4 linked regions of the Anolis sagrei genome follow. Each later gene encodes a partner of the first gene's protein in a complex. Links are inferred from orthologs where the notes say so. Each region holds a gene or a part of one and is shown in the gene's direction. Other genes may lie near its edges.

Region 1 (6,831 bases):
AAATTACAAAAATACCAGTTTGCACTCAATTAACTGAATGAGGAGGGGAGGAAAAAGGGAGTGGAATCTTACCTTTCCCAAGAGAAAAGCAAACTTCTACAGCCTCTCTTAGCTTGAGTGTTCTTTTTTGTAAATTTCTGCTATCTTGACACATATGTTCTGGTTTTCATATGTGAAATGCTAAGAGGTATGGGTTCCCCTTGATTTTAAAAGTTCAAGTCTACTTGGGGCTAAAGATGGGATTTAGGCCTTTGAAGCCAGGTTTTACAAGTCATTCTATACAAAACTAATAAAACAATAATATACAAAGCTAATAAAAAATAATAAGACGGGGGTCCAAGATGGCGGCGCGTGCCCTCCTGGTCTCCTTGGCCTGCCTCCGCTGAAGCCTTGCCGCCTTGGCTTCCTCCACTTCCCACCTCGCCTCCTCCTCGGCCAGAGCCCGCCTCCTCTCGCCAGCTCCTCTCCTAACCCTCCTCCGGCCACCTCAGGTTTCAGGAACATTCCTGCAGTTGAACCACCACTATGCTGACCTGCCCCCCTCCCCCCCACGCTGGATGGCATCAAGAAGCGGGTCCTTTACGTCTCAAAACTCTACAACAAGATCGACCCTGAAAAACGCACAGCAAATTCCCACTTCGTGAAAGATCTGGGATGGACAGCCTGGACCAAGTGGAGATTATCATGCGATGGAAGACGAATTCGGGTTTGAAATTCCCGACGTGGAAGCAGAGAAGCTGATATGTCCCCACGAGATTGTAGAGTACATTGTAGATAAGAAAGATGTGTAAGAATAAAGCGTGTGTCCAATGAGCTGAGTATTTCTGTTCTGCCCTGAGGGCCTGGATGGTGTGCGCAGGAAAGGGGGGAATCTGGCGATCAAGACACACGGACCCTTTGTGCCCCTCACTGCATCAGTCACCGTTGGTCTCGGACAGATAGTTCTGCCAGCTGCTGTATTTAATGTTGTACAAATCTATGTTGGCCTTTGAAATAAATGTGAGGCTGTTAAAAAAAAAAACTAATAAAACAAAACCATTGCTGTCCACAAAGGGGCACTCTTTCCCACTGCTGCCGTTGCTTGGCTGCTTTTTTCTCATGTAATTTTGTATATATTCATGAAGCTCCCTATTGCATCCATCTTTTCTTCTCAGGTTAAGGATGATGAATGCAACCCTTTTAGTTCTATTGCAGTTAGTGAAGATGACAGGACATGCAAGGAATTCTAAAAGCAATGGGAAGGAAAACAAATGAAATTGAGATGAACTAATTCAAATGATTTGGAGAGTTGTAAAACATTATGTCACTGAGGTCCATTCTACACTTCCATATGAAATCCAGATTATCTGCTTTGAATTGGATTATATTGCAGTGTAGACTCATATAATCCAGATCAAAGCAAATAATGTGGTGTTTTGCTTTAATAAACTCGATTATATGGCAGTATAGAAGGGGCCTGAACTGTATAAATACTATAAAATCTAGCAAATCCCTAGTTATCCATGTTGGCAATATGAATATGACTCTGAAAAGCATTAGCAGTCTTGTTCATATGTGTGAAAAAGTGTCCCTGGTACATGGGCATTATATCTTTATACATCTGTCCCAATTAAGCTCTCTGGTAAAGTTTATGGCCCATCGTTCACTCTAAAATCATATGCGTGCTGGGCTTTTAAAAAACCTAATATTTTGCATCACTAGATTCTAATAATGCAACTCACCAGCTTCATCTGATATATTTAAAGCCCTGCTTTATACCAAGGTGGGCAACTGTGGGAGGCGATGGCATCAGGGTATGCCTACACATCAGACAAATCCTTAAGTGCATTGCAAAATCAGGTTTTGCTTTTGGGGATTTTTTCCTGAATATTTCTGAATCATGGTTGGTTGAAACTGTGGGTGTGGAACCTCTGGATAAGGAGAGCCAATTGCATTACCATAACATGTGGTTGCCAAAAGTATATGAGATGGGGAGAGAAGCTTGCAGATGCAGATACATATGGAAATAAACAGGATGCAAGTTTAATTCCTTTTAACACTTTATACTTGACCTTGGCATTCCCACTATGAGAACATTTCTTCAGTACGTCTCATTAATTTCAGCAAAACAAACTTCTGAATCACATTTTTAAAATTCCCATTTTACTCCAAACTAGCATGACTATTTCAGAGACCATTAACAAAATGTATTTCCTATGGAACTCACAACTGTTGTAGTAAATTGTTTTTTTAAAAAAATAAGGAAACACTTTAAATATACTTGCCTGGTTGACTGTTGGATGTAACACTCGAAGTCTATATATAGCAGGGTTTGTGTTCTTTTAAAACAGTTTCCAGACATATTGAAACTGGAGGGGGAGGCAGTACAGCATGTGACCATCAGGTTCAATCAAGAGAACCTTGTCTTAAAGTGGGTTATTTATTTAGGTAAGTTAGTTTTGGCCACCTGGGTTTCATTTCCTATCCTTATGATGTTTAAATCTATTTCTGTAAGGGATGTGCAGGTCAGAAAGAAAACAAAGACAAAGACATGAGTGTACAAAGAAAGACAACAATGGAAAAAATTATAAGCTATATTCTGGGGAAAGGCAGAGCATTTTTATACTACAGGAAGCTTCTGCCCATGTTGAGAGTAACCCAAATCATGCTGCGTGTGCCATCTGTTCAGACCAGTAGGAGGCAGCATAGGGTAAATAAGTGGATAAATGCATGATGAGTCAAGATTGCAACTAATGCAGCAATGATGTCTCAAAATACCATGTGTTAATAATATGCTTGCAAGTACAATTCAACCCTGTAATCTACAGATTTGTTGTTTTCTTTATCAATACTATAAGTACATATGACTTTTAGTATTACAAATAATTACTAACACAACTCGTAAGTGATACTATGTGGCAAATGGTTCACGTACAATACCCTTACAAATAATCTGTACTGTAGGTTATTTCTTTGTGTTACAAATGAGAGCCACCATGGTGTGGTGGTTTGAGTGATAGATTAGGATTCTGGAAACCTGGATTGGATCCCCTCTTTGGTCACTGGATAACCTTGGGCTGGCTAGTCACATTTTCTCAGCCTCAGAAGATGACAAAAGCAGTTTCCCTCTGAACAAATATTGCAGAGAAAACCTCATGATTGGGTTGCATTAGGTTTCTGGTACATTTATGCAACTCCTGCCTCATGTCTTAACCCACAATTCCGCTTTTAGTTACCAGGCAAAAGCCCAGATAACATTTTTTAAAGAATTAATTTCTTTTTGAAGAATGCTATTAACTATTATAGGCTAAAACACTTTGGGATACTAGAAAAATAAATCAATCTCTCTGTCTCTCTCTGTCTCTCTTTCTCTCTCTATGCCCCCAGTAAGAAGATTAGCCTGGGATTGGGATCACAACCTGGATGAGGGTACCCCCTCTCAAAGATCTTAGCGTGTAGATACTCTTGGACCCAATGCTGTCCTTGCAGGTCCAGGTCATGGCAGTGGCTAGGAGCACCTTTGCCCAGCTTTGGCTGGTGAACCAGCTGCACCCTTTTCCTTATATAAGTGTAGATGTCTCTTAGCTTTCAACACAAACAACAAGATCCAGACCACTGACTATAGAAGAAGCAAACCTGTTCATTTCCATAATCCCTGTGTTTAAAGTTTGATTAGTGTAGTGGCTTGCAGACACAGAATGAGAAAGTGGAGTGGAAGTTAAAAGCATGTTAAGTGTATGGATAATTAGCATGCACAATCAAAAGGGGAAATAAGCTCTTGCAATGTTATAGTAGCTTTCACTTCCTTTCACTGGATTTTTTTTTGAAGTCACAACCCTCACAATAAGCGAAGCTAGTTCAGTTTCATTTGTGCAGTCACCATCATGGGCAACTGGGTGGAAAATGAGGGGCTCTCCATATTTGTCATTGTAAGTACAACAACCATGCATTTTTAAGTGAAATTCAAATTTTGTATTTGATTAGTTTTATGAAAAACTCTATCCCTTAACTTCTAATTTTGTGATATCTTCCTAGCTTTTAAAACATTGTATTAACAACAGAAATGTTCTTGAAAGTCACGCATCAGAAGGTGTCGTTATGGTTTTGTGCCTTCAAGTCATTTCCGATATATGGGAATTTTAGGGTGAACCTATCATGGGTTTTTTCTTGGCAAGATTTGTTCACAGCTAGTTTACCTTTGTCTTTCTCTGAAGCTGAGAGTACTACTCATTAAAAATGAGTTACTCCCGTAAGGAAATGTGTATTCCTTGAGTTTAGTCAGTTTGGTCCCAAATGCATAACTAACAAAATGGTTGCATTCTGGAATAGGTAGGAAATGAGATGGATACAAACATCATAGCATAGAAAAACTGCTGAATTCTCTGGGTTCCTTGTTGCGCATTAGATTAGAGCAGTGGTTCTTAACCTGTGGGCCTCAGACCACCAGTGGACAATTCTGCCAGCCAAAATGAAAGTTCTGCATTGGGCTCTCTTATAGCTGGTCAACTCTTGATTTGTACAGTCTGGGGTTCATGAAGTATAGTGAATAATTTTTCTTGTCTGCTATTTTGCACCACCTTCTGTTTAGTGGACCATGATGCTGTTTTAAACCACAAACCAGAACCTCCCCTATGTTGTAAAAACCTGGAAATAATTTCAGATCATATGTTTCTTCCTTCAGTTTTTATGGCTGGGTTTAAATGTCTTCCTCTTCTGGTGGTTCTACCAAGTATATGATCTTGGGGAACAGTTCTTCTACACAAGAGAACTTCTTGGGGTAAGTGCTAGATCCCTATTTTTCATATACAGTAGAAAAATAAGATTAACTTCATTAGTCAAAAGAGGAGGACCCCCCTTTAGCAAACAACGGATTTTCTGAAATGTTGCAACTTTGTGTCAGACTATTATTAAATTCAGCTTTCCTGTTATGTTTCTTTCTGTTCACTTTTAAGCAATCCTAAAATATCTGTTGGGTGGACTTCCTCACATTCACATTTCCCCTTTTTTTCTCCCACTTCGTATTAGATTCCAATGTTCACTTTACCACTTCAAAAGTGAGTTGTTATTTGGAAAATGGTGATGACATAATGACTCTACTAATTGCCAATTAGTTTCTGGAAAAGTACAAAGTGTTGGATATTACTTTTAAATCCTACACATTATGGGTCCAAGTTACCAATGAGAATTTGGGGATTAGAGTACAGTACACTGGTTGGTTGCTTTCAAATTTGGATTCAACCACAGAATGCTGCCTGACTTACCTGGAAACCACCAGTTGGCACTCCTTGCAGCGGAGTCTGGCAGGGCAGCAGCCTTAAAATCAAAGAAAAGGTGAATGAGCAGTGGTTAGATAAATGCTATGTGAACTTTTATAATATGGGGGGAACGGCAAAAAGCAATGGATCCTCACATTATCTAAATGGTCACCATTATATAGCTTGTTTGAGGATGAAGAGGAGTGCTGGCTGAAGAAGTTGAATAGAGCAAGATTTTAAGAGTGAAGGATTTATATAATAATGGAGGAGAATTGATGGATTTTATAGAGTTGGTTTAAAATCTTAAAAGATGATGCTGTCAAGGTGATGCATGCCATTTGCCAGCAAATATGGAAAACACAAGAATGGCCATCAGACTGGAAAAAATCAACTTATATCCCCATACCAAAAAAGGGAAATGCGAAAGACTGCTCAAACTTCCGTACAGTTGCCCTTATTTCTCATGCCAGTAAGGTAATGCTCAAGATCCTGCAAGGAAGACTCCAGCAATACATGGAGCGAGAGTTGCCAGATGTTCAAGCTGGGTTTAAAAAAGGCAGAGGAACGAGAGACCAGATTGCCAATATCCGCTGGATAATGGAGAAAGGCAGGGAGTTTCAGAAAAACATCTACTTCTGCTTCATTGACTATTCTAAAGCCTTTGACTGTGTGGATCATAATAAATTGTGGCAAGTTCTTGGTGGGATGGGCATACCAAGCCACCTTGTCTCTCTCCTGAGGAATCTGTACAAGGACCAAGTAGCAACAGTCAGAACTGACCACGGAACAACAGACTGGTTCAAGATTGGGAAAGGCGTACGGCAAGGCTGCATACTCTCACCCAACCTTTTTAACTTGTATGCAGAACACATCATGCGATGTGCGGGGCTGGATGAATGCAAAGCTGGGGTGAAAATTGCTGGAAGAAACATTAACAACCTCAGATATGCAGATGACACCACTCTGATGGCCGAAAGCGAGGAGGAGCTGAGGAGCCTTCTAATCAAGGTGAAAGAAGAAAGCGCAAAAGCCGGGTTGCAGCTAAACGTCAAAAAAACCAAGATTATGGCAACAAGAATGATTGACAACTGGAAAATAGAGGGAGAAACCGTGGAGGCCGTGACAGACTTTGTATTTCTAGGTGCAAAGATTACTGCAGATGCAGACTGTAGCCAGGAAATCAGAAGACGCTTACTTCTTGGGAGGAGAGCAATGTCCAGTCTCGATAAAATAGTGAAGAGTAGAGACATCAGACTTGCAACAAAGATCCGCCTAGTCAAAGCCATGGTATTCCCTGTAGTCACCTACGGATGTGAGAGCTGGACCTTAGGGAAGGCTGAGCGAAGGAAGATCAATGCTTTTGAGCTGTGGTGTTGGAGGAAAGTTCTGAGAGTGCCTTGGACTGCGAGAAGATCCAACCAGTCCATCCTCCAGGAAATAAAGCCCGACTGCTCACTGGAGGGAAAGATACTAGAGACAAAGCTGAAGTACTTTGGCCACATCATGAGGAGACAGGAAAGCCTAGAGAAGACAATTATGCTGGGGAAAGTGGAAGGCAAAAGGAAGAGGGGCCGACCAAGGGCAAGATGGATGGATG
Region 2 (7,610 bases), on another chromosome or scaffold:
TTTGGACTTAATTTAGACAGTATTTGAAGATAATTTACTGTCTCAAGGACTACAAGATAACTAAGTAACATTCAGTTTTGTTTTGTGATTCATGTGCAGTGTATTTACACGCTTTATGTTAACACAGTTCTGCTTTGACAACCCTTATTTTTCCCTGTCAATCTTATATTGGATACTAATCCCTATCAAACCCATCTAAGTGGCCATTGGTGGGGGACTATGGAAGAGGCAGCATGTTAACATCTGGAAGGTCACATATTCTGCAGCCATTGTTAGTTGTTGATCAAAGGGGCAGAAACACATAACATCAGGTACCACATTCCCAGTGACTATGTAAAGACTTATACTTTTACCCTTGGTTCTGGCAATGACCTGATCTCACCATTACCAAAAAGCAGAGTGTAGGAATAGGGCCAGCAATAGTGGCCTCAGGCCCCAGTGAATTTCGTTTCTCACTTCAGGTCCACCACCTGTTCACCAGCAGCAACATGATATGTGGAGGCCATGAATCAAATTTTCTATCTTTGCCCTCATTCCTGGGAGGGTTTGCTTGGAAAAAGTTCCTGTTTTTATGTTTATGGATTTATGTTTGACTGACTGCCGTGGATTTTGGCTCTCTTAATTTCATGTACTTTGCCATTTGTGAATTGCTGCTATTTTGTATCTTTTACATCCCTACCATTTTTATCTTTTACATTCCTGCCCCTTTTCCCAAGAAAGCAGGAATGCTGTGAAAAGCTTTGTCAACCTCGTGGTATTTAAAGCCATTATCTATTTCCACAGTGGCAATATTGCCTTCCCATGACTCTACAACTGATTCATAATGGACAGAGGACCTGGAGTCTGTTTGGCAATTATTGGCTAATATAAAATGAAACTGCAATTATTAATTATGTGATAATTAAATGTTAAGTAGGGCATGGTAGTGATTAATGAAAGCCATTATTGAAATAACCAAGCAATTCCTGATGTAATGTTACTGATGGTAAAATATAGCACATCACTTTTTAAATAAATAAAGCTCCAAGATGCCCCTTCTTTGCACCATAGACTTGCTGTTTTGTCTTCTAGGTCTGATAGGTGTGTGAACATCTTGATCAAGGTTGACAACTGTTGTCCTCCAGATGTTTTTGGACTGCAGTTACCATAACCCCTTATTGTTGTTAGCTAGGGTTGAAGGGAATGGTAGTCCAAAAGCATCTAGAGGGCCACAGCTGCTAACATAAAAGGGGAAAGTGCCTAACTCAAAAAATGGATCACAGGTTTGCATAAAATCTACATACATATCCTACAGTATATACTCATGAATAAGTCTAGAAATTTTAATAAAAAATCAACTGAAAAACTGGGTTGATTTATCCATAGGTTAATGTGAATGCGGCAAAAGGAAGAGGGGCCGACCAAGGGCAAGATGGATGGATGGCATCCTTGAAGTGACTGGACTGACCTTGAGGGAGCTGGGGGTGGTAACGGCCGACAGGGAGCTCTGGCGTGGGCTGGTCCATGAGGTCACGAAGAGTCGGAGACGACTGAACGAATGAACAACAACAATGTGAATGCTGTAGCTTAACTCATATCAGAAAATCAACCACCCCCTTCTCTAAGCAGAGAGGCAAAAAACAATAGCTTAGTTCATTCCAGGAGAACCTAAAAGAAGAACTGACCCACTCTAAGCTCTGTGCCTTGGAACTACTTCTGGAATTTTTGAATGGTTGTATGGCCACAACTATTTATACAGGAGGTCAATTTATACAGGAGTATCTACAGTATGTTAATTTATTTGGGGATGTACAATTTAAATAGAACTATATCTCAACTACAGTGAAAAGGAAACATAGACCAGCTACACTGCAAAATTATTAAATGACACGGCCCCATCCTATGGATTCATGGGATTTGGAAGAGAAGGTTAAATATCTCACAAAACCACAAATTTCAATCTGCTATCCAGGAACTTCAAGTCTTCTTCCAGTAGAGTTATGTGTGGAAGATGGATTTGGACTGAGATGATCTTCAAATAGTGGAGGGCACCTTCAAACAGATGACTCTAATGAAGAGCAGGTGACCATCCAAGGCACAAATCATGCATGATGGCAGCAAAGTGAATGCGTTGATCCAAATACAGTGATCCTGTTGCTTTCTTTTGTATCATTATTTACTAATTATTAGTTATCTAGTGTGTCAGACAAGGAAATTATAAAGGGTGCCTCTGTGAAGATGTGACAAGATGACAAAGAAAATTGCTGTGATAGTTGTAATTGTGATTACAGGGTTAATTTTTTATGGAATTTGTTAACTGATGGATGCATATAAACTGGGTATGACAGTAGGATATGTGGATGATTCCATGACTCATTGGTAACATGTCTCTCTTGCTTCCTTGCATGCTGGTTTTCTGATTTCCTTATGATAATTGTATCTCATTTGCTATGATTGCTGAAATGTTACAGTGCAGAGTTAAGGTCATTAGAGGCTATTGAATAGCGGGTCTGGTCAAGGCTAGCCTTAATACTGGGCTGAGGAAACCACCACAGGCAGTGGTTGCTCGCGAAAAGGTGTTAAATAACAGAATTGTACATGCCACACAATCTGGCCTGTACACCCTAAGCTATTTTATTTATCGTATCAGAAGCAAACCGAGGGTTCAGGTATAATATATTTTTAAAACACAAAGTTTAAAAAACTTGGCATTATACTAAATGTCCTTTGACCAGTAACTGGCCACTTGGAGTGCCTCTGGTGTTGCTATAAGCAGGTCCTCCATTGTGCATATGGCAAGGCTTAGAAAGCATTGTAATAGGTGGTCTGTGGTTTGCTCTTCTACTCACCCGCATCTTGTGGACTCCACTTTGTGGCCTAATTTCTTAAGGTTGGGTCTGCATCTGGTGGTGCCACAGCGCAGTCTGTTTAGCACCTTCCAGCTTGCCCAGTCTCCTGGGTGCCCAGGGGGGAGTCTCGCATTCGGTATCAGCCATGGCTTGAGGCTCTGGGTTTTAGCCTGCCACTTTTGGACTCTCACTTGCTGAGGTATTCTTGCAAGTATCTCTTTAGATCTTAGAAAACTATTTCTTGATTTGAGGCATTGGCATGCTGGCTGATATCCAAACAGGGGAAAGGGTGGAGATGTCACTGCCTTGGTTCTTTCAATACTGGCTGCTACTTCCCAGCAGATGTCAGGTGGTGCAATTCCGGCTAAACAGCTTAATTTCTCCAGTGGTGTAGGGCATAGACATCCTGGGATAATGCAACATGTTTCATTAAGAGCCACATTCACTGTTTTGACATGGTGAGATGTGTTCCACAGTGGGCATTTGTACTCAGCAGCAGAGTAGCATAGCACAAGGGCAGGTGTCTTCACTGTATCTGGTTGTGATCCCCAGGTTGTGCCAGCCAGCTTTCGTATGATATTGTTTCTAGCACCCATTTTTTGCTTGATATTCAAGCAGTGCTTCTTGTAAGTCAGAGCGTGGTCCAGGGTAACTCCCAGGTATGTGGATGTACTGCAATGCTCCAGTGGGATTCCTTCTAAGCTAAGTTGCTGTACTCAACTGGAATGAAGCAGATTTTCCCTTCACCAAAGTAGTAATAAGATTTAACTGCCAGTCCTTTCACCTTTTGTATATGGACTAGGAGGACATCACCAGGTCTTCCTTTGCAGGGACCAACATATCTTGGGCTGGTATTACTGCAAGTAAGAGTATTCCTAAATTAAAGCAGGGATGGACAGCATGTAGCCTGCAGTTACAATGCAAACATTTTCTCTTCTCCCTCCCTTGAATGTCCACTACCAAAACATCTGTTGCTAGTGCTGCCCAAATTCCAACATTTATACTGGGAAACATGGAATATGAAGAGCACAAGGCTAGTTTCCTAAGTTTGCTTTACTTGTTTCTAAGTAAACCTATTTAGAAATTATGCATACAATGATTGCAATAGGAGAGGAATTCCCCCTTATGATAACTGGCCCCGTTGTAGTTCATGTCATGGCAACTACAGTATGAAGCATACTTCTGAAAAAAAGAAAACTATGTGTAATGCTTTCAAAGTTTCCTATTTCCAAGAAGAATGGTTGTGTGTTGGACAGTGGCAGAAAAAGCAGTAGCAAAAATGGCAGCAAGGGCAAATCTGCTGGCAGCAATGGAAGGATGAACCACTCAAAGCATTCCATGTACACCCACCAGTGTATCCCACCTATTCACAGGAAGATGGGCACACCTGGGTTTCATGGAAATATGAGACAATGTTGTGGACGATTTTTAAAAACTGTAATTTTCTGTATCTTAAAAAAGAAATGTATTTCTTTTGACAAGAGAAGAAAAGGTGTTTCTTCACCAAGGCTCCAGAGACAGCTATAATGGCAAGCCACTCTCACCCAGCCATCTTCTTCTCAACTGAAAGAGAAAGAGGGAAAATATCTCTTTCTGGGGTTTGTTCTTTCTCCCACTTTCCTTCTGCTCCTCTGGATGGTTCTCCTTCCTGTGTAGAAACTGCATTGCAACCTCTTTTTAGTGTCCAAAGACTAAGCCACACAGTGTGATGAAAAAGGAAGTGCTTAGCTATCTGCAGCATGCAAAGAGAGAAATATATTTGAAGCTGCACACCCTTCCCCCAGCACACAGTCAGGGCTGCCTTGGGGACTAGTGGGCGGGTTGAGAAACATTCTCTCTTCCCTTTCCTCCCTAACCCACAACCTGCTGTTCAATTCAGCTTTGGTTTTGATATAACTGTAGAACACTTCCTGCCGGCAACGTTGGTGAGCTGTTACCTTTATTCGAGAGACCTGCTGAACTCCACAGCATCGCCAGGCCACAGATATGCAAGCCATCAAGTGTGTGGTGGTCGGAGATGGGTATGTATGATGCCTTTGAGGCACAGGGGAGAGTGGGGGAAGGGCTGAGCTTTGGATGAACTTCTTGTTTCCTCTAATACCCTATTGGCTGGGTTGCATGCTCTTTCTTGCTCTATGTCCATATCTCTTTTAGAGTGGCCATGCAAGCATGAGGGGGAAGATTGATCCAAGACATCAAGGGCAGAAAAATAACATTTAACAAAAAGTGCCACAAAAAGATAGTTTCAGTTAAATGTTACTCTGGAATATGTGTTATTTCTGTGTGGCATCATCGATGACAGAATCAAGGCCAGAATACAGTTATCCCTTGCTGAGTGGTCCATGACCACTTTATGTAGTTTGGTTCTGATGAATGTTTCATATACTGCTTTGTTAAATGCAAGTGACCTCCAAAAATACGAAACAAAAATGTTGAATCTGTTGGATTAAAAGCTAGCACAGTGCAGCAAGCTCTCAAATGAAACAAAAACAAGGTGTTTGTGACCTTGCGTCGGGGCTGGTCTTTCTCTGCTTGATGATGGTAAAGAGCATATGTGACTATTCATTTTGCATGGGAAAATGAAAGCATTTGTCTTTCTGGAAGCATTTGCCATAAGCCATAAATGCACAAGGCTGCTGTGACCTGTGGAGATCTAATTCCTGATGTCAGTGTGCATAGGCTAGAGGCCAGGAGCTGACACTCAAGAGATAGGTGTAGCCCTAAGAGAAATACCCTGCTCCTGACCAACAGTTTCCAGTCCAGAAACAAAACCGGCTTGTAGCATGGAAGCAGTAGGTCTGGGATTTGTCATCAGACTGCTTTTTATGTATAGTGAGACCTTGGGCTCCCCCTTTCCCAGAGTGATCCCCTCCACTCACCCATAACTTCTTATAGGGTGGCAACCTGTTCTTGATGGGGTTGCACTCCCCCTGAAGTCACAGGTCCACAGCTTGGGTGTCCTCCTAGATTCTGCGCTAATGCTTGAAGTTCAGGTGTCGACGGTGGCTGGGAGGGCCTTCACACAATTGAAGCTCGTGCGCCAGCTATGACCGTATCTCATGAAGTCAGATTTGGCCACGGTGGTCCATGCCTTAGTTACCTCTAGATTGGACTATTGCAATGCGCTCTACGTGGGGCTGCCCTTGAAGACAGCCCAGAAATTCCAACTGGTCCAACGAGCGGCAGCCAGACTACTAACTGGTGTGAGCTACAGGGAGCGGTCAACCCCCCTGTTTAAGGAGCTCCACTGGCTGCCATTTATTTTTCGGGCCCAATTCAAGGTGCAGGTTTTGATCTACAAAGCCCTAAACAGTTTGGGGCCCGCCTACCTGCACAACCATATTTCTGTCTACGAACCCATGCGACCTCTTCGATTTTCCGTAGAGGCCCTTCTCTCGCTCCCATCTTCATCACAAGCATGACTTGTGGGAACGAGAGACAGGGCCTTCTCTGTGGTGGCCCATTGGCTCTGGAATACACTCTCCAGAGATATTAGGCCAGCCCCCACCCTGGAAATCTTTAGGAGGAGCCTGAAAACTTGGCTGTTCCAATGTGCCTTCAATGACTGAATGTATGATAATCCCTGACCAGAGGCGGCCCTAGGCAATTTTCAATGGTAAGCAAACAGTATTTTGCCCTCCCCCTCAACCAATCAGTGATATATATTTTCTGTTCGTCGTGGGAGTTCTGTGTGCCATATTTGGTTCAATTCCATCATTGGTGTTCAGAATGCTCTTTGATTGTAGGTGAACTATACATCCCAGTAACTACAACTCACATATGTCAAGGTCTATTTTCCCCCAAGAGCGCCTAAAGAGCGCCCCTGGGCAAAATCAACTATACTGCAAATGCTTACTTTGTGTAATGGGTTGAGCCGCCCCTGTCCCTGACCAAACTCTGCATAAAATGTCCTCAGACACACTTTATTCTCTGGTTTGTGCAATGAACTCTTACCTTATCCCCCGGATCCCCTTCCTGATATTTTACACTGCCCTATCTCCCAGTGTTTTAATTTTTTAATCTTTGAACTGGCCCTGTCCATTGTGTTCATTTTTAGTGGTTTAATATTTTGATTTTATATTGTTGTGCTGTATATTTACATTTTGTATTTTTGTACTTTATGTTATTTTATTTTCTGATTTTCAGTTATGTTTTTGTGTTATATTGTGTTTCTGTATTGATGGGCATGGCCTCATGTAAGCCGTCCCAAGTACCCTTTAGGGAGATGGTGGCGGGGTATAAATAAAGATGATGATGATGATGATGATGATGATGATGATGATGATGATGATTATTATTATTATTATTATTGGGAGCCTTAGTACAATGCTGCTATGTTTTGTTGAAAGAAATAAGCAGCATGTGAGAATGTTCTCTTTTCTTTACCTATAAATCACAAAATCTCGCAAACTCCCTCTGGGCAAAAAGTAGTGGAAAGGGGTATTTCAAGTGGAGGCCAACACTTTGAGAACATGACCAGTTTACAACAGGCCAAAGGCTTAGCCCTACCTCAACCTCAACGCCACAGCCGTTGACCAAAGCAGCTGTTGGCTGTGCTGAGTGGTGGATCTGGGGAGTCATTGCCCTATGGAACATAACATCCTTTTACTGGGATAGCTTGTCGTGGGTGGAGGACATTTGCAAGACTATTCATCTCCTTCCTGACAGTATTATTTGGCTGTGACTCAAAACCATGTCCTTTTCCATAAGCTGAAGTCAGCTCAGTAAGAGCTTGCAGCTTGCCTGTGGATATCACTTGCTTGCAACTCTGGGGCTCCTTTG
Region 3 (7,485 bases), on another chromosome or scaffold:
GGGGCACTCTTGAGGCACTCTTGGGGGTAAATAGACCTTGACATATGCGAGTTGTAGTTACTGGGATGTATAGTTCACCTACAATCAAAGAACATTCTGAACTCCACCATTGATGGAATTGAACCAAATATGGCACACAGAACTCCCATGACGAACAGAAAATATATATCAGTGATTGGTTGGGGGCGGGGGTGTGTGTGTGTGTGCAAAATACTGTTTGCTTACCGTTGAAAATTACCTAGGGCCACCTCTGCCTTCAAGGTCAATCCAGTCACTTCAAGGATGCCATCCATCCATCTTGCCCTTGGTCGGCCCCTCTTCCTTTTTCCTTCCATTTTCCCCAGCATCATTGTCTTCTCTAAGCTTTTCTTTCTTCTCATGATGTGGGCAAAGTACTTCATCTTGGCCTCTACTATTCTTCCCTCCAATGAGCAGTCAGGCTTTATTGGATCTTCTCGCTGTCCAAGGCACTCTCAGAATTTCCTCCAACACCACAGTTCAAAAGCATCATAGAATCAAAGAGCTGGACGAGACCTCATGGGCCATCCAGTCCAACCCCCTGCCAAGAAGCAGGAATATTGCATTCAAAGCACCTCTGACAGATGGCCATCCAGCCTCTGTTTAAAAACTTCCAAAGAAGGAGCCTCCACCACACTCTGGGGCAGAGAGTTCCACTGCTGAACGGATCTCACAGTCAGGAAGTTCTTCCTCATGTTCAGATGGAATCTCCTTTCTTGTAGTGTGAAACCATTGTTTCGTGTCCTAGTCTCCAGGGAAGCAGAAAACAAGCTTGCTCCCTCCTCCCTGTGGCCTCCTCTCACATATTTATACATGGCTATCATATCTCCTCTCAGCCTTCTCTTCCACGTCTCTCTGGCTGCAAAAGGTCCACTGTATTTCCCTGTACCCCAGGCTCCAAAGTAGGACAAGGCCACATCTCTCTGGCCACTAAAGGCACGCTGCCTCACTATTTCAATGTCTCCCAGGCTCCAAGTGGGACTAGGCCGCGTCTCTCCATCGACACCATGTTTGTTGTTGTTCTTCTGACAGGACTGAGTTACCCTGTAGAAGAGCAGGATGTTTCTAGACAGGCTTAGAACAGGACACTTCACTACTGGCTGTTAAGAACTGTGGGAGTTGGGAGTCCAAAACACCTACGAGTCTGGCCTCAAAACCGGCATGGCTGACTTCGGCTGTTGGTTGTCAGCAATGGTCTGTTTCAGAATTACGGCATCCATGAGGCCCTTTGTCCTTTCAACAGGCCCTTCTCCAAATAGGCCTCTTTCTTGGGACGCAAAACGCCCGCCGTCCCTCCATTTTGTTGCTATTGAGGGTACAAGTGAGCCTAGGCTGCGTCTCTCTGGCTGCATCTATCTTCCTTCGCTCAGTCTTCCCTATGGTCCAGCTCTCACATCCATAGGTAACTATGTGGAATACCATTGCTTTTACTATGCGGATCTTTGTTGCCAGTGTGATGTCTCTACACTATTTTATCAAGTCCTTTACTAGCGACTCTGAGATTGTTTCCCCTCAGACTGGTATAAAATCCACATTGAGCTGGGTTATATGGCAGTGTGGACTCAGATAATCCAGTTCAAAGCAAATATTGTCGATTACCTCGTGTTTAAAAGATGTTAACTTGCGCAATACTGCAGCAGCTTCCTTTTTATATATAGCTTCTTACCACAGGTAGGCCGGGTTTGACCCATCACTGACTCTTGAAATCTTCACTAGAGATCCTGAGTTAACACATCTTTTCCATCTTCATAGCTATGATACTTCATCTTGCTGATGGGAAGCTTCCCACCGGAGTGGAAATCATCTATCAGACAGCTATTTAACCTCAGCAGACTGAAAGCCAAAACCAAGGTTACAACAACATTTATTATAGAACTCCAGTATGTTGATGACAACGTTGTCTGTGCGCATTCAGAAGACCTACAAGTCACTCTAAATACCTTTGCAGAAGCATACGAGCAGCTCGGCCTGTCATTAAACATCGAGAAAACCAGTGCTCTTCCAGCAGTCACCAGCCAGTCCCTCTCCAATGCCAGAAATACAGCTTAATGGTGTAACACTAGAAAATGTCGACCATTTCCGCTACCTTGGCAGCCACTTCTCCACAAAAGTCAACATTGACACTGAAGTACAACACTGCCTGAGCTCTGCGAGTGCAGCATTTTTCTGAATGAAGCAGAGAGTGTTTGAGGACCGGGACATCCGTAGGGATACCAAGGTGCTTGTTTATAAAGCTATTGTCCTCCTAACTCTGCTATATGCCTGTGAGATATGGACTATCTACAGACGTCACATGCAACTCCTGGAACGATTCCATCAGTGCTGCCTCCGGAAAATCCTGCAAATCCCTTGGGAAGACAAGCGGACAAATGTTGGAAGAAGCATGCTGGAAGAAGCAAAGACCACCAGCATTGAAGCGATGGTCCTCTGCCATCAACTCCGCTGGACCGGCCACGTTGTCCGAATACCCAACCACCATCTCACAAAGCAGTTTCTCTACTCCGAACTCAAGAACGGAAAACGGAATGTAGGACAGGAAAAAAGATTTAAAGATGGGCTCAAAGCCAACCTTAAAAACTCTGGCATAGACACTGAGAACTGGTAAGCCCTGGCCCTTGAGCGCTCTAATTGGAGGTCAGCTGTGACCAGCAGTGCTGTAGAATTTGAAGAAGTATGAATGGAGGGCGAAAGAGAGAAACGTGTCAAGAGGAAGGTGCATCAAGCCAACCCCGACCAAGACCACCTTCCACCTGGAAACCAATGCCCTCACTGTGGGAGAAGATGCAGATCAAGAATAGGGCTCCACAGTCACCTACGGACCCACCAGAACACTGATCCTGGAAGACTATCCTACTCAGCCAATGAGGGATTGCCTAAGAGAGGAAGAATTTGGGAGGTGGGCTAGTTGTTAATCCAACTCACAAGCAAAAAAGTAGATAATAGTATTCTATGGAAGTACCAGTTGGGCAACTTGCTTGTGAAGTCGGTAGGAAGTTTAGGAGGGTCGTCTCCAGGAGGAGGGACCCTGAGACCCCACCAAAGAGGGATCGCTACTTTGGCGAGCTAGAGAAGCCTGATTTCAGCCAATTTATTAAATTAAAAAATTCAAAATAAATCTCACCAAAGTTGAAGAAGTGGCACTGAGGTGTTTTTATTAGTGATTCAGCTGAAAAGGATGCAATGTAGCAATCATTCGCCTACAAATCATGCCAGTACAAAGATCAGAGACATTTTTATAATAAGGTTTACAGGCTTAGAAGTTTCAAAATTCCCGCCCTCCGCCCTGATGATTGGCTGACGTGATTCCAGCTGGGAGGGGGCCAAAGCCAACTACAGAGCTCCTCCGCTGTGCAGGAACCAATTGGAGAGCTCCTACCGCCTCAGCGCTCCGGCGAATCAGGAGAGGGGAGGTGGGACGAAGAAGAAACAATGGGTTCATGAATGGATTAATGGATTTCATGCCTGGGGGAATCCTGAGTCTGAGACTTCAGCCTGCAAAGGATGCCAGTCTATTGTCTTTTGATGGGTCTTGTTGATTACTTTATCCGGGTCTTCCTGCCCGCCAGAGAAATTGATTAAAATAATAATTTTGATAAAACATGTGTCCATAGTTCATACTGGGGAAGTTCAAACGTGAAAATAAGTTCATTAGAGCCAAAAATGATGTGTAGGAAGTCCAATAGTCAGAAAAGGAGCTGGGTGATTTCCATTGAGCCAAGGAAGGGATTCTTGCAGCGCCAAGATCAAGCTGGTCCTTAGTCCTTGGAAAACTATAACTCCCTCCAAGGACTGGGGCCTCAAGGCCAGGCTCTTCCCTGAAAGCCTCATGGGGTCCTTGTTGTTGTTAGTGTCTTTGACAAATTGACCAAGACTTAACCCCTTTGTGCAATCTGGTACCCTTGCCCTTTGCAGAACTATAAGTTACCATCCCTTATTGGGGGGACGGACGGACATGCTCGACTTCACTTGTGTTTAAAAGATGTTAACTTGAGCAATCCTGCAACAGCTTCCTTTTTATGTATAGCTTCTTACCACAGAGAGGCCGGGTTTGACTCTTGAAATCTTCACGACAGATCCCGAGTTAACACATCATGAAAGGGAAGCCCAATGATTTTATTTTAAGACTCTTATGGAAAGTGAAATTCAGAAAAAGGAAGGCGTGACTGCAGTCGCATGATGAGAAGTCAACGTCAGACAGTGCAAGCAACCTGAGCAGAGGATCACAGACAATGCTCTGTCCTGAAAGCAGCTTCTTCTTTGGGCAATCTTCCAGCCCGTGTGGCATTACTTCCTCTGTCAAGCCTGGCCCCTCTTTCAGTTATGAGTTCAGTGATGAGACTTCCTGGTCTGTTTGCAATTGCAACACTGGTGAGCTTCGAGAGGGGGAGCAGAATGCATACCTGATGTGCAAGGGGAGCTTGCCTGGTGGATTGTGAGAGCCCCTTGCTTGCAACTGAATAGATTCCAGTTTGGCCATGGCCCTTGTAGAGACAATTCGACTGTGGAGTGAAGGGGTGTCTGCAGCTGACCGCAAAGACTGGCCGGCTGCTCTGTCTGCCTTCACTTCGGTTCCAAATCCTTCCTCCAAAATCTGCTTTAACATTGGCTGCACCCACCTGGTCATGGGGAATTTGGATGAGGCACAGCAGGTAGGTGGCCAAGAAAACTGAAATATTCTCCCCAAAAGCAGCTTAACAAGCCCAACAAGTAAACCTGGATGGCTGCAGGAGTCCTTCCATGGAACTAGTAGGGAGAGATGGGAAAAGAAGCCATTTAAAAACAGGTTAGCTGTGTCCCTGTTATTAAGTCAGGATTTCTGAGCTGCTGTTGGTTTGTGGAAGGCTTTCATGGCTGGAATCACTGGGTTGTTGTACGTTTTTCGGTCCATATGGCCATGTTCTAGAAGTCCGTCGTTTCGCCTAACAACCTCGGGGGATGCTTGCCATAGATGCAGGCGAAACGTCACGAGAGAATGCTTCTAGAACATGGCCATATAGCCCGAAAAAACCTGCAACAACCTGCTCTTGGTTTGATTGGTGAATGACCAAAAAAATATGGACTGCTAGCTAAACTTACTTGTTTTCCTTCCCTGTTCCTACTCTATTTCCTTTTTCATTTTCAAATGGCAGGGGGTTACAACAGATTTAGGGGTGTGCGAAACATTCTGGTTTCAATGTATTGTCAAAGGCTTTCATGGCCGGAATCACTGGGTTGTTGTAGGTTTTTCCAGGTTATATGGCCATGTTCTAGAGGCATTTTCTCCTGACGTTTCGCCTGCATCTATGGCAAGCATCCTCAGAAATAGTGAGGTCTGTTGGAAGTAGGAAAATGGGTTTATATATCTGTAGAATGGCCAGGGTGGGACAAAACTCTTGTCTGCTGGAGCTAGGTGTGAATGTTTCAACTGACCACCTTGATTAGCATTTGATGGCTTGGCAGTGCCTGGGGGAATCTTTTGTTGAGAGGTGATTAGATGTGCCTGATTGTTTACTCTCTGTTGTTTTGCTGTTGTAATTTTAGAGTTTTTTAATATTGGTAGCCAGATTTTGTTCATTTTCATGGTTTCCTCCTTTCTGTTGAAATTGTCCACATGCTTGTGGATTTCAATGGCTCTTCTGTGTAGTGTGACGTGGTCTAGCATTTCTGTGTTCTCAAATAATATGCTGTGTCCATGTTGGTTCATCAAGTGATCTGCTATGACTAACCTTTCTGGTTGAAGTAGTCTGCAGTGCCTTTCATGTTCCTTGATGCGTGTCTGGGCAATGCTGCGTTTGGTGCTCCCTATGTAGACGTGTCCACAGCTGCATGGTACACGGTAGACTCCTGCAGAAGTGAGAGGATCCCTCTTGTCCTTTGCTGAACGTAGCATTTGCTGGATTTTCTTGGTGGGTCTGTAGATAGTTTGTATGTTGTGTTTCCTCATCAGCTTCCCAATGCGGTCAGTGGTTCCCTTGATATATTGCAAGAACACTTTTCCTCAGGGTGGATCTTTGTCTTGACTCTCATGGCTTGTTCTCGTGGCTTGTTTATATAGACTAGCCGTCCCCTGCCAGGCCTTGCTGTGGCCCAGTCTGGTGATCTGGAAAATAAAGTAATGAGAAAGCATTGGTTTCTAATATATGTAATTTTTTTATGCTTGTGGGTAAACAGTATTTCTTATTGTTTCTTTGTCAGTGTTAATGTGAAGATTGTCTGGTTTGCCTACTCTGGAACATGCAACATATTGTCCTTCTTTAGGAGTCCCTTTCAAATCTATGATACTATATCTCTGTGTGTGTGAATCACATCTATCTATATTTATGGCTGGATGGCTCTTTGTCATGAGGGCTTTGATTATGTTTTCTTGCCCTGGTGAAGGGAGTTGGACTGGATAGCATTGAGTATTTTCTCTTGGTCATGGAGGTTCTGTGTGGGAAGTTTGCCCCAATTCTGTCATTGGTGGGGTTCAGAACAATCTTTGATTGTAGGTGAACTATATCCCAGTAACTACAACTCCCAAATGTCAAGGTCTATTTCCCCCAAACCCCATCTGTGTTCATATTTGGGCATATGGAATATTTGTGCCAAGTTTGGCCCAGGTCCAGATCCATCATTGGTTGAATCCATGGTACTCTCTGAATATAGGTGAACTACAACTCCCAAACTCAAGCTCAATGCTCACCAAACCCTTCTGGTGTTTTCTATTCTTCATGGGAGTCCTTTATGCCCCGTTTGGTTCAATTCTATCCTGCTATTTGATTGTAGGTGAACTATAAATCCCAGCAACTACAACTCCCAAAAGACAAAATCAAAAAATTTTGAGTGAAGGATACATTGGGTTGTTAGGTGTATGCTGTCCAAATTTGTTGTCAATTCGTCCAGTGGGTTTTGAGTTATGTTAATACCACAAACGACTGTTACATTTTTATTTATATAGATTGTGCCCCATCAGTTTGTGCTGGCAATGCCTGGCAACCCAGAAGTCCCAAACTGCTGTATCTATAATACTTTTCAAGAGGTATTATTTTTGCTTCCTTCAGGCCTTTACCAGGAGTACCAACAATGACAGACACTTAGCAGTGGCATATTTCCAGCGAGGAATTGTGGCGTACCAGATGGAAAAGTGAGTTGTAACATATTGGGCACCTTAAAAAAGGAGCGGAATGTTTTCTTATTCTGTTGTTCATCCTTGCAACCACTTTCTCCTTAATCTGTTAGAACAGTGCTATGTTTAGTTTCCTATTTTGCAAACCTTATGTACCAGCATGTACCAACAGAAGATTCTCGGATCCATATAAATTGTACAGCTCAGTGCTGTTTTTTAATGCAGAGAGAGACATAGCTGCCCACACAAAACCGTGAAAGTTATTTCTGTGTGTATGTGTCTCTTTCTTAAAAGAATTGGGAATTTAATGTGGCAGACCAGTTCCCTCCTTCATATCAAATTCCCAAATGTTACTTCTATTTTTCCATTTATGGTATATAAAT
Region 4 (7,640 bases), on another chromosome or scaffold:
ACAATAGACACAACGAGCATTCGGCTCATTCCTGCATCTGGAAAGGTGAGCAGCTGGGGACGCAGCGAGTGGATCCTTTATGCATGGGAAGATGGTCTTGGGTGATTTTTTTCCACGGACCCCACACTCATCTTGACATTTTGGGCTAGGTGGCGAATGGTTACGTGGCGATTTTCCAAAATGGTGACCTCCACTTGCTGGATGGTGTGTTCATCAAGAGCAGAGTGCGGTCGCCCTAGAATTGGAGCTGTTTGCACCGAAGTCTGACCACATTGGAACCAAGGATGCCAGTTCTTGACTCCATCTTGTGATGAGGAAGCATCACCATAAACCTCTTCCATCTCATTGAACGTCTCCTTTGGTGTGTGGCCTTGCAAGAAAAGGAACTTGAGGACTGCTCTGCACTTCAGCACCTGTCACATCAAGACCGTTCTCAGTTCTGAGTTGTAAATTGGCATGTCACCTTTAGAGACTTATATCATTGCACATGGGTAGTTTCAGTGTCCTGTGATCAATAGAAGTGGGTCAGGGGAAATCTTTCTTGAACACCACTCATATAATTAGCCCTTTCTTCAGTCCACAATGGAATGGACAATGCCAGTTCTTGAATCCGTCATATGATGGCGAATCATCCCCATAAACCTCTTTCATCTCATCAAACGTCCCCTTTGGTGTGTGGCCTTGCAAGAAAAGGAACTTGAGGACTACTCTATCTGCCACTGGGTCCATTCTCAAACCTCACACCACTTCAGCACCTGTCACATCAAGACTGTTCTCAGTTCTGAGTTGTAAATTGGCACGTCACCTATAGAGACTATCATTGCACATGGGCGGTTTCAGTGTTCTGTGATAAATAGAAGTGGGTCAGGGGAAATCTTTAATGAACGCCCCTCGTATATCCATATATATGGTCATTGCAGGGTTTGGCATCGTCTTCCACCATTTCCCAGCATCCCTTCTGCAAAGGAGGATGGAAGTTGTCATCCAGCAGCACGTGGATGGCTGTAGTTTTCTCTGTTGATCTCTCAATATTTTTAATCCATTCTAACCTTTGAAACCTTCTGCCTTACTAGAGAAAACTCTGGGACTTCCTTTTCCAGAAAATCAAGCAGATAGCCTTCCTATTGCCTTTCTTCCCTTTGCACAAAGTCTCCTGGAGAATGCAGTTGTCCTTTTCCCCCAACTTTGGTTTCATTTTTACTGGGTTGCTTTTTAAAAAGAAGTGAAAGTCGATAATTTTCATCCGAACTCTGGTGTTTTCTTTTGGGGATTTGCTTCTCTTATACCAGTGTTTCTCAACCTTCCTAATGCCGCGACCCCTTAATACAGTTCCTCTTGTTGTCTTGACCCCCAACCATAACATTATTTCCGTTGCTACTTCATAACTGTAATTTTGCTCCTGTTATGAATCGTAATGTAAACAGGATGTATTTTCATTCACTGGACCAAATTTGGCACAAACATCTGATACGTCCAAATTTGAATACTGGTGGGGTTGGGAGGAAATAGATATTGTCATTTGGGAGTTGTATTTGCTGGGATTTATAGTTCACCTACAATCAGAGAGCATTCTAAACTCCACCGATAGAAATGAACCAAACTTGGCACACAGAACTCCTTTGACCAACAGAAAATACTGGAAGGGTTTGGTGGGCATTGACCTTGTGTTTTTGAGTTGTAGTTCGACTACATCCAGAGAGCACTGTGGACTCAGACAATGATGGATCTGAACCAAACTTGGCACAAATACACAATATGTCCAAATGTTAACACTGGTGGAGTTTGGGGAAAATAGACCTTGATATGTGGGAGTTGCTGGGATTTACAGTTCACCTACAATCAAAGAGCACTCTGATCCCAGTCCACAATGGATCTTCACCAAACTTGACAAATTACATAAACAGCCAACATTGAATATTTATAGGGTGGGGGCTGTTTCTGAATTCTGGGATTTGTAGTTCACCAACACCAAAAAGGAAGAGAAGAACAGGTGGAGAGATCGCCAGCCTTTTCTGCCAAAAGGGTTCCTAAGGCTTTTTGTTTTCTGATGGTCTTTGGAGGCCCCTCTGAAACCCCTCTCATGACTCCCCCAGGGATCCTGACCCCCAGGTTGAGAAATACTGTCTTATAAAGATGCAAAATTAACACTCATACCATCACTGAATTGCAGAGGTATAGGATGGGGGACACCAGGCTTGGAAACAATGCAAATGAAAGGGATTGAGGAGAGTCAAGACAGTGATGCAGCAGCGTAAAAGGCCAATGCGATTCTCAGGTTGGGATAGATGGCCTTTGGGGTGCCTTCAAGTGCTAACGGAATATATGCCTGGGAACCCAGTGAAGTCGCTTTCTCAGGAGGTTTCCAAGCAGAGGCTGAATGGCCATCTGTTGGGAGGGCTTGGACTATGTCTTGCAAGGCAGAAGGGGGCTGGCCTTTGGAATATGCCTTCCAGATATATGATTGTATAAATTGTCAGGATAGAAGCATTCAGAATGGAATGGCTAATTAGGGAGCCTCCATACCTGGAGGTCATTAAGTTGGGGCTGGATGGCCATCTGTCAGGAGGGCTTGGATTGTGTCTTTATGGTAGAAGGGGGTTGGAATAGAGGGCCTTTGGGGGACCCTTTCAAATACATTATAGTATACATTTTAAGGATGGAAACATTCACAATGGAATGGCTGGTGATGGCCATCCAGTCCAACCCCCTCCTGCCCTGCAAGGCACCAGCCAAGCCTTAGCAACAGATGGCCATCCAGCTCCAACTTCAGGATCTCCAAAGATGGAGACTCCATCACCAGCCACTGCATTGGGAATGTTTCCATCCTGAACATTTATATCCAGAAGGTTTCCTCCAAAAACCATCTATACCAACCCCCTTCTGCTATACAGGAATGGCTTGAATGATGTCTTCCTATATAGCAGAAGGGGGTTGGTATAGATGGTCTTTGGAGGAAACCTTCTGGGTAGAAGAGTCGATTAATGTTCAGGATGGAAATATTCCCAATGGAGTGGCTGGTGATGGAGTCTCCATTTTTGGAGGTCATGAAGTTGGGGCTGGATGGCCATCTGTCACTAAGGCTTGACTGGTGCCTTGCAGGGCAGGAGGGGGTCAGACTGGACGGCCTTTGGAGGTCCCTCCCATCTCTGGGGTTCCTTTGCAAAAGTTCTTTGCGCCTTATAGGAGGAGGCAGAGGAAAGGAGAACTTGCCCCAGTCATTGCACCTTTGGAGAGGTCGGGTGCCTCTTCTTTTCATGAAGTTGGGGCTGGATGGCCATATGCCAGGATGGCTTGGATGGCGTCTTCCTATATAGCAGAAGGGGGTTGGTATAGATGGCCTTTGGAGGAAACCTTCTGGATAGAAGAGTCAATAAATGTTCAGGATGGAAACATTTCCAATGGAGTGGCTGGTGATGGAGTCTCCATCTTTGGAGGTCGTGAAATTGGGTCTAGATGGCCACCTGCCACGATGGCTTGGATGGTGTCTTCCTGTATAGCAAAAGGGAGTTGGTACAGATGGTCTTTGGAGGAAACCTTCTGGATATAAGAATCGATTAACGTTCAGGATGGAAACATTCCCAATGGAGTGGCTGGTGATGGAGTCTCCATCTTTGGAGGTCGCGAAGTTGGGGCTGGGTGGCCATCTGTTGCTAAGGCTTGGCTGGTGCCTTGCAGGGCAGGAGGGGGTCAGACTGGATGGCCTTTGGAGTTCCCTCCCATCTCTGGGGTTCCCCTCTCCTTTCACAAACTTTGCAAAAGTTCTCTGCGCCTTGTAGGAGGAGGCAGAGGAAAGGGGAACTTCTCCCAGTCGTTGCGCCTTTGGAGAGGTCGGGTGCCTCTTCTTTTCATGAAGTTGGGGCTGGATGGCCATCTGCCAGGGTGGCTTGGATGGTGTCATCTGTCAGGAGGGCTTGAGTGGTGTCTTCCTATATAGCAGAAGGGGGTTGGTACAGAGGGTCTTTGGAGGAAACCTTCTGGATATAAGAGTCGATAAATGTTCAGGATGGAAACATTCCCAATGGAGTGGCTGGTGATGGAGTTTCCATCTTTGGAGGTCATGAAGTTGGGACTGGATGGCCATGTGTTGCTAAGGCTTGGCTGGTGCCTTGCAGGGCAGGAGGGGGTCGGACTGGATGGCCTTTGGAGGTCCCTCCCATCTCTGGGGTTCCTTTGCAAAAGTTCTTTGCGCCTTATAGGAGGAACTTGTCCCAGTCATTGCACTTTTGGAGAGGTCGGGTGCCTCTTCTTTTCATGAAGCTGGATGACCATCAGCCAGGATGGCTTGGATGGTGTCATCTGTCAGGAGGGCTTGGGTGGTGTCTTCCTGTATAGCAAAAGGGAGTTGGTAGATGGTCTTTGGAGGAAACCTTCTGGATATAAGAGTCGATTAATGTTCAGGATGGAAACATTCACAACGGAGTGGCTGGTGATGGAGTCTCCATCTTTGGAAGTCATGAAGTTGAGACTGGATAGTCATCTGTTGCTAAGGCTTGCCTTGTATCTTTCAGGGCAGGAGGGGGCTGGACTGGATGGCCTTTGGAGGTCCCTCCCATCTCTGGGATTCCCCTCTCTTTGGCAAACTTTGCAAAAGTTCTCTGCGCCTTGTAGGAGGAGGCAGAGGAAAGAGGAACTTGCCCCAGTCATTGCGCCTTTGGAGAGGTCGGGTGCCTCTTCTTTCTGCGTCTCTCTTCTCCAAACCGGGGGGAAAGGAAGGGAAGGAGGGGCAGGAAGGGACGTAGCCGGCGGCCCGGACTAGCCCTGCCCTGCTGCTGGGAGCCCTTCCCGGCCGGATCCCTGCCCTCTGGCCCCTTCGCCCCTTCCCCTCCCTTTCTCCCTCCGGAGTGCCAAAGGAGGAGCAGCCATGGGGCGCATCGAGTGGGCCATGTGGGCCAACGAGCAGGCGCTGGCTTCGGGGCTGAGTGAGTCTTTGCAAAGTCGGGGGCTTGTTTCCTTGTTGTTGGGGGAGGAGACCTAGGCATCAATAGAGGGGAGGGGGGTCCAAAGACCCACCCAAAGACAGCCCAAAGGAATGCGCTTTGGCACCACTTGGAGAGCCAGGGCGCAAAGCTATGGACATCAAGAGCACTTGCAGCTTGGCAAAACTTTTTGGTTTGATGGCGACCCATCAAGCCACATTCCCCCACATGATCCCCATAGCACAAACCCATAGGATAGTGTTTCTCAACCTTCCTCATGCCACGACCCCTTAATACAGTTCCTCATGTTGTGGTGACCCCCAACCATAACATTATTTTTGTTGCTACTTCATAACTGTTATGTTGTTACTGTTATGAATTGTCGTGTAAATATCTGATTTGCAGGATGTATTTTCATTCACTGGACCAAATTTGGCACAAATACTTGATACGTCAAAATCTGAATACTGGTAGGGTTGGGGGAGGGATTGATTTTGTCATTTGGGAGTTGTAGTTGCTGGGATTTATAGTTCACCTACAATCAAAGAACATTCTGAACTCTACCAATGATGGAATTGAACCAACTTGGCAAACAGAATACCCATATACAACAAAAAATACTGGAAGGGTTTTGTGTGCAGTGGCCTTGTGTTTTGGAGTTGTAGTTCTCCTACATCCAGAGAGCACTGTGGACTCAAACGACGGATCTGGAACATACATGGCATGAATACTCAATATTTCCAAATGTGAATACTGGTAGAGTTTGGGGAAAATAGACCTTGACATTTGGGAGTTGTAGTTGCTGGGATTCATAGTTCACCTACAATCAAAGAACATTCTGAACCCCACCAACATTGGAATTGAACCAATTTGGCAAACAGAATACCCATATACAACAAAAAAATACTGGAAGGGTTTGGTGTGCAGTGGCCTTGAGTTTTGGAGTTGTAGTTCACCTACATCCAGAGAGCACTGGTGGGCTCAAACAATGATGGATCTGGACCAAACTTGGCATAAATACTCAATATTTCCAAATGGAGTTTGGGGAAAATAGACCTTGACATTTGGGAGATGTAGTTGCTGGGATTTATAGTTCACCTACAATCAAAGAGCATTCTGAATCCCACTAATGATAGAATTTGGCCAAACTTCCCACAGAGAACCCCCACGACCAACAGAAAATACTGTGTTTTCTGGTGGTCTTTGGTGACCCCTCTGACACCCCCCTCACGACCCCCCTAGGGGTCCTGACCCCCAGGTTGAGAAACGCTGCTATAGGAGTTCAAGTGATGCCAAACTGCATTAATTCTACAGTGCGGATGTGCACAAAATGCTCATTGTTTCATATCTTCCTTTCTGTGCATTTTGTCTCCAAACAGCAACTTTGGGCATGACTCTTTGAAGTGCTCCATTCTGTGAAGTTGTAGTATTCCAAGGCTTTTGAGCCTTTTCCTGCCGAAAGAGCAATTAATTTATCGTGTCAGAAGCACATTGAGGGTACAGTTAAAATGCATTTAAAGTTGTTTTTTTTTAAAAAAAAAAAAACGTGGCATGATGCTAAATGGGTTGTTGTGATTTTCCAGGCTGTATGGTCATGTTCCAGCAGCATTCTCTCCTGATGTTTCGCCTGCATCTGTGGTAGGCGTCCTCAGAGGTTGTGAGGTCTGACAACCTCTGAGGATGCCTGCCATAGATGCAGGCGAAACGTCAGGAGAGAATGCTGCTGGAACATGGCCATACAACCCAGAAAACTCACAACAACCCAGTGATTCCAGCCACGAAAGCCTTCAACAATACATTATGTGAAATGTTGTTTGATCAGAAGCTGGCCTCTTGGAATGCCTTTGGTTTTGCTGTGAGAAGGTCCTCCGTTGTACATGTGGCAGGGCTCAGGCCACACTGTAATAGGTGGTCTGTGATTTGCTGTTCTCCACACTCGCATGTCATGGACTTAACTTTGTGGCCCCATTTCTTAAAGTTAGCTCTGCATCTCGTGGTGCCAGAGCACAGCCTGCTCAGTGCCTTCCAAGTCTCCCAGTCTTCTGTGTGTTCAGGAGGGTGTCTCTCATTTGGTCTCAGCCACTAATTAAGGTGCTGGGTTTTAGCCTGCCACTTTTGGACTCTCGCTTGCTGAGGTGTTCCTGCAAGTATCTTTGTAGACCTTAGGAAGCTGTTTCTTGAATTAAGGCATTGGCATGCTGGCTTGATATCTGAACAGAGGATAGACTGGAGATGTCACTGCCTTGGTCCTTTCATTTCTGGCTGCTACTTCCCGGCAGATATCAGGTGGTGCAATACCGGCTAAACAGTATAATTTCTCCAGTGGTGTAGTGCATAGACGTCCTGCAATAATGCACCATGTTTCATTAAGAGCCACATCAACTGTTTTGACATGGTGTAATGTTTTCCACACTGGGCATTCGTATTCAGCAGCGGAGTAGCCAAGTGCAAGGGCAGGTGTCTTCACTGTGTCTAGTTATGATCCCCAGGTTGTGCCAGTCAGCTTCCATACGATATTATTTCTAGCACCCATTTTTTGCTTGCTGGTAAAGCAGTGTTTCTTGTAAGTCAGGGCACAGTTCAGGGTCACTCCCAGGTGTCTGGGTGTGCTGCAATGCTCCAGTGGGATTCCTTCCCAGGTCATCCTCAGAGTTCGGGATGCTTGTCTGTTCTTAAGGTGAAAAGCATATGTCTGTGTTTTGGATGGATTAGGAATCAGTTTTC

Evidence for each region.
Region 2: CYBB (region 1) and RAC2 share a complex: the UniProt entries of both Homo sapiens proteins name them as parts of the phagocyte NADPH oxidase complex. The link is inferred for Anolis sagrei from reciprocal best matches to the Homo sapiens genes CYBB and RAC2.
Region 3: CYBB (region 1) and NCF2 share a complex: the UniProt entries of both Homo sapiens proteins name them as parts of the phagocyte NADPH oxidase complex. The link is inferred for Anolis sagrei from reciprocal best matches to the Homo sapiens genes CYBB and NCF2.
Region 4: the proteins of CYBB (region 1) and CYBA are in contact, whole or in part, in a cryo-EM structure (PDB 8X2L), measured with the Homo sapiens proteins. The link is inferred for Anolis sagrei from reciprocal best matches to the Homo sapiens genes CYBB and CYBA. Residues at the interface, in NP_000388.2 of Homo sapiens: Thr116, Ile117, Leu120, Phe121, Val123, Glu124, Asn128, Asn133, Lys161, Asn162, Pro163, Gly166, Leu167, Ala170, Val180, Thr183, Leu184, Ile187, Leu188, Thr191, Ser192, Thr194, Lys195, Thr196, Ile197, Arg199, Ser200, Tyr201, Glu203, Val204; in NP_000092.2 of Homo sapiens: Gln3, Ile4, Glu5, Trp6, Met8, Trp9, Glu12, Gln13, Ala16, Ile20, Thr23, Val27, Gly31, Phe33, Thr34, Gln35, Arg56, Arg59, Met65, Gly102, Phe103, Leu104, Leu105, Ala106, Ile108, Leu109, Ala112, Cys113, Ile116.

Annotation. Positions count from the first base shown.
Region 1 is NC_090023.1:79,967,252-79,974,082, reverse strand, and holds the start of CYBB (cytochrome b-245 heavy chain), read left to right. Parts: upstream 1-3,817; 5' UTR 3,818-3,863; coding exon 3,864-3,908; intron 3,909-4,660; coding exon 4,661-4,756; intron 4,757-6,831. UniProt on the Homo sapiens protein: Catalytic subunit of the phagocyte NADPH oxidase complex that mediates the transfer of electrons from cytosolic NADPH to O2 to produce the superoxide anion (O2(-)).
Region 2 is NC_090025.1:165,898,011-165,905,620, forward strand, and holds the start of RAC2 (ras-related C3 botulinum toxin substrate 2), read left to right. Parts: upstream 1-4,602; 5' UTR 4,603-4,814; coding exon 4,815-4,849; intron 4,850-7,610. UniProt on the Homo sapiens protein: Plasma membrane-associated small GTPase which cycles between an active GTP-bound and inactive GDP-bound state.
Region 3 is NC_090024.1:122,473,129-122,480,613, forward strand, and holds the start of NCF2 (neutrophil cytosol factor 2), read left to right. Parts: upstream 1-4,466; 5' UTR 4,467-4,493; coding exon 4,494-4,667; intron 4,668-7,037; coding exon 7,038-7,120; intron 7,121-7,485. UniProt on the Homo sapiens protein: Subunit of the phagocyte NADPH oxidase complex that mediates the transfer of electrons from cytosolic NADPH to O2 to produce the superoxide anion (O2(-)).
Region 4 is NC_090028.1:26,681,299-26,688,938, reverse strand, and holds the start of CYBA (cytochrome b-245 light chain), read left to right. Parts: upstream 1-4,637; 5' UTR 4,638-4,861; coding exon 4,862-4,919; intron 4,920-7,640. UniProt on the Homo sapiens protein: Subunit of NADPH oxidase complexes that is required for the NADPH oxidase activity that generates, in various cell types, superoxide from molecular oxygen utilizing NADPH as an electron donor.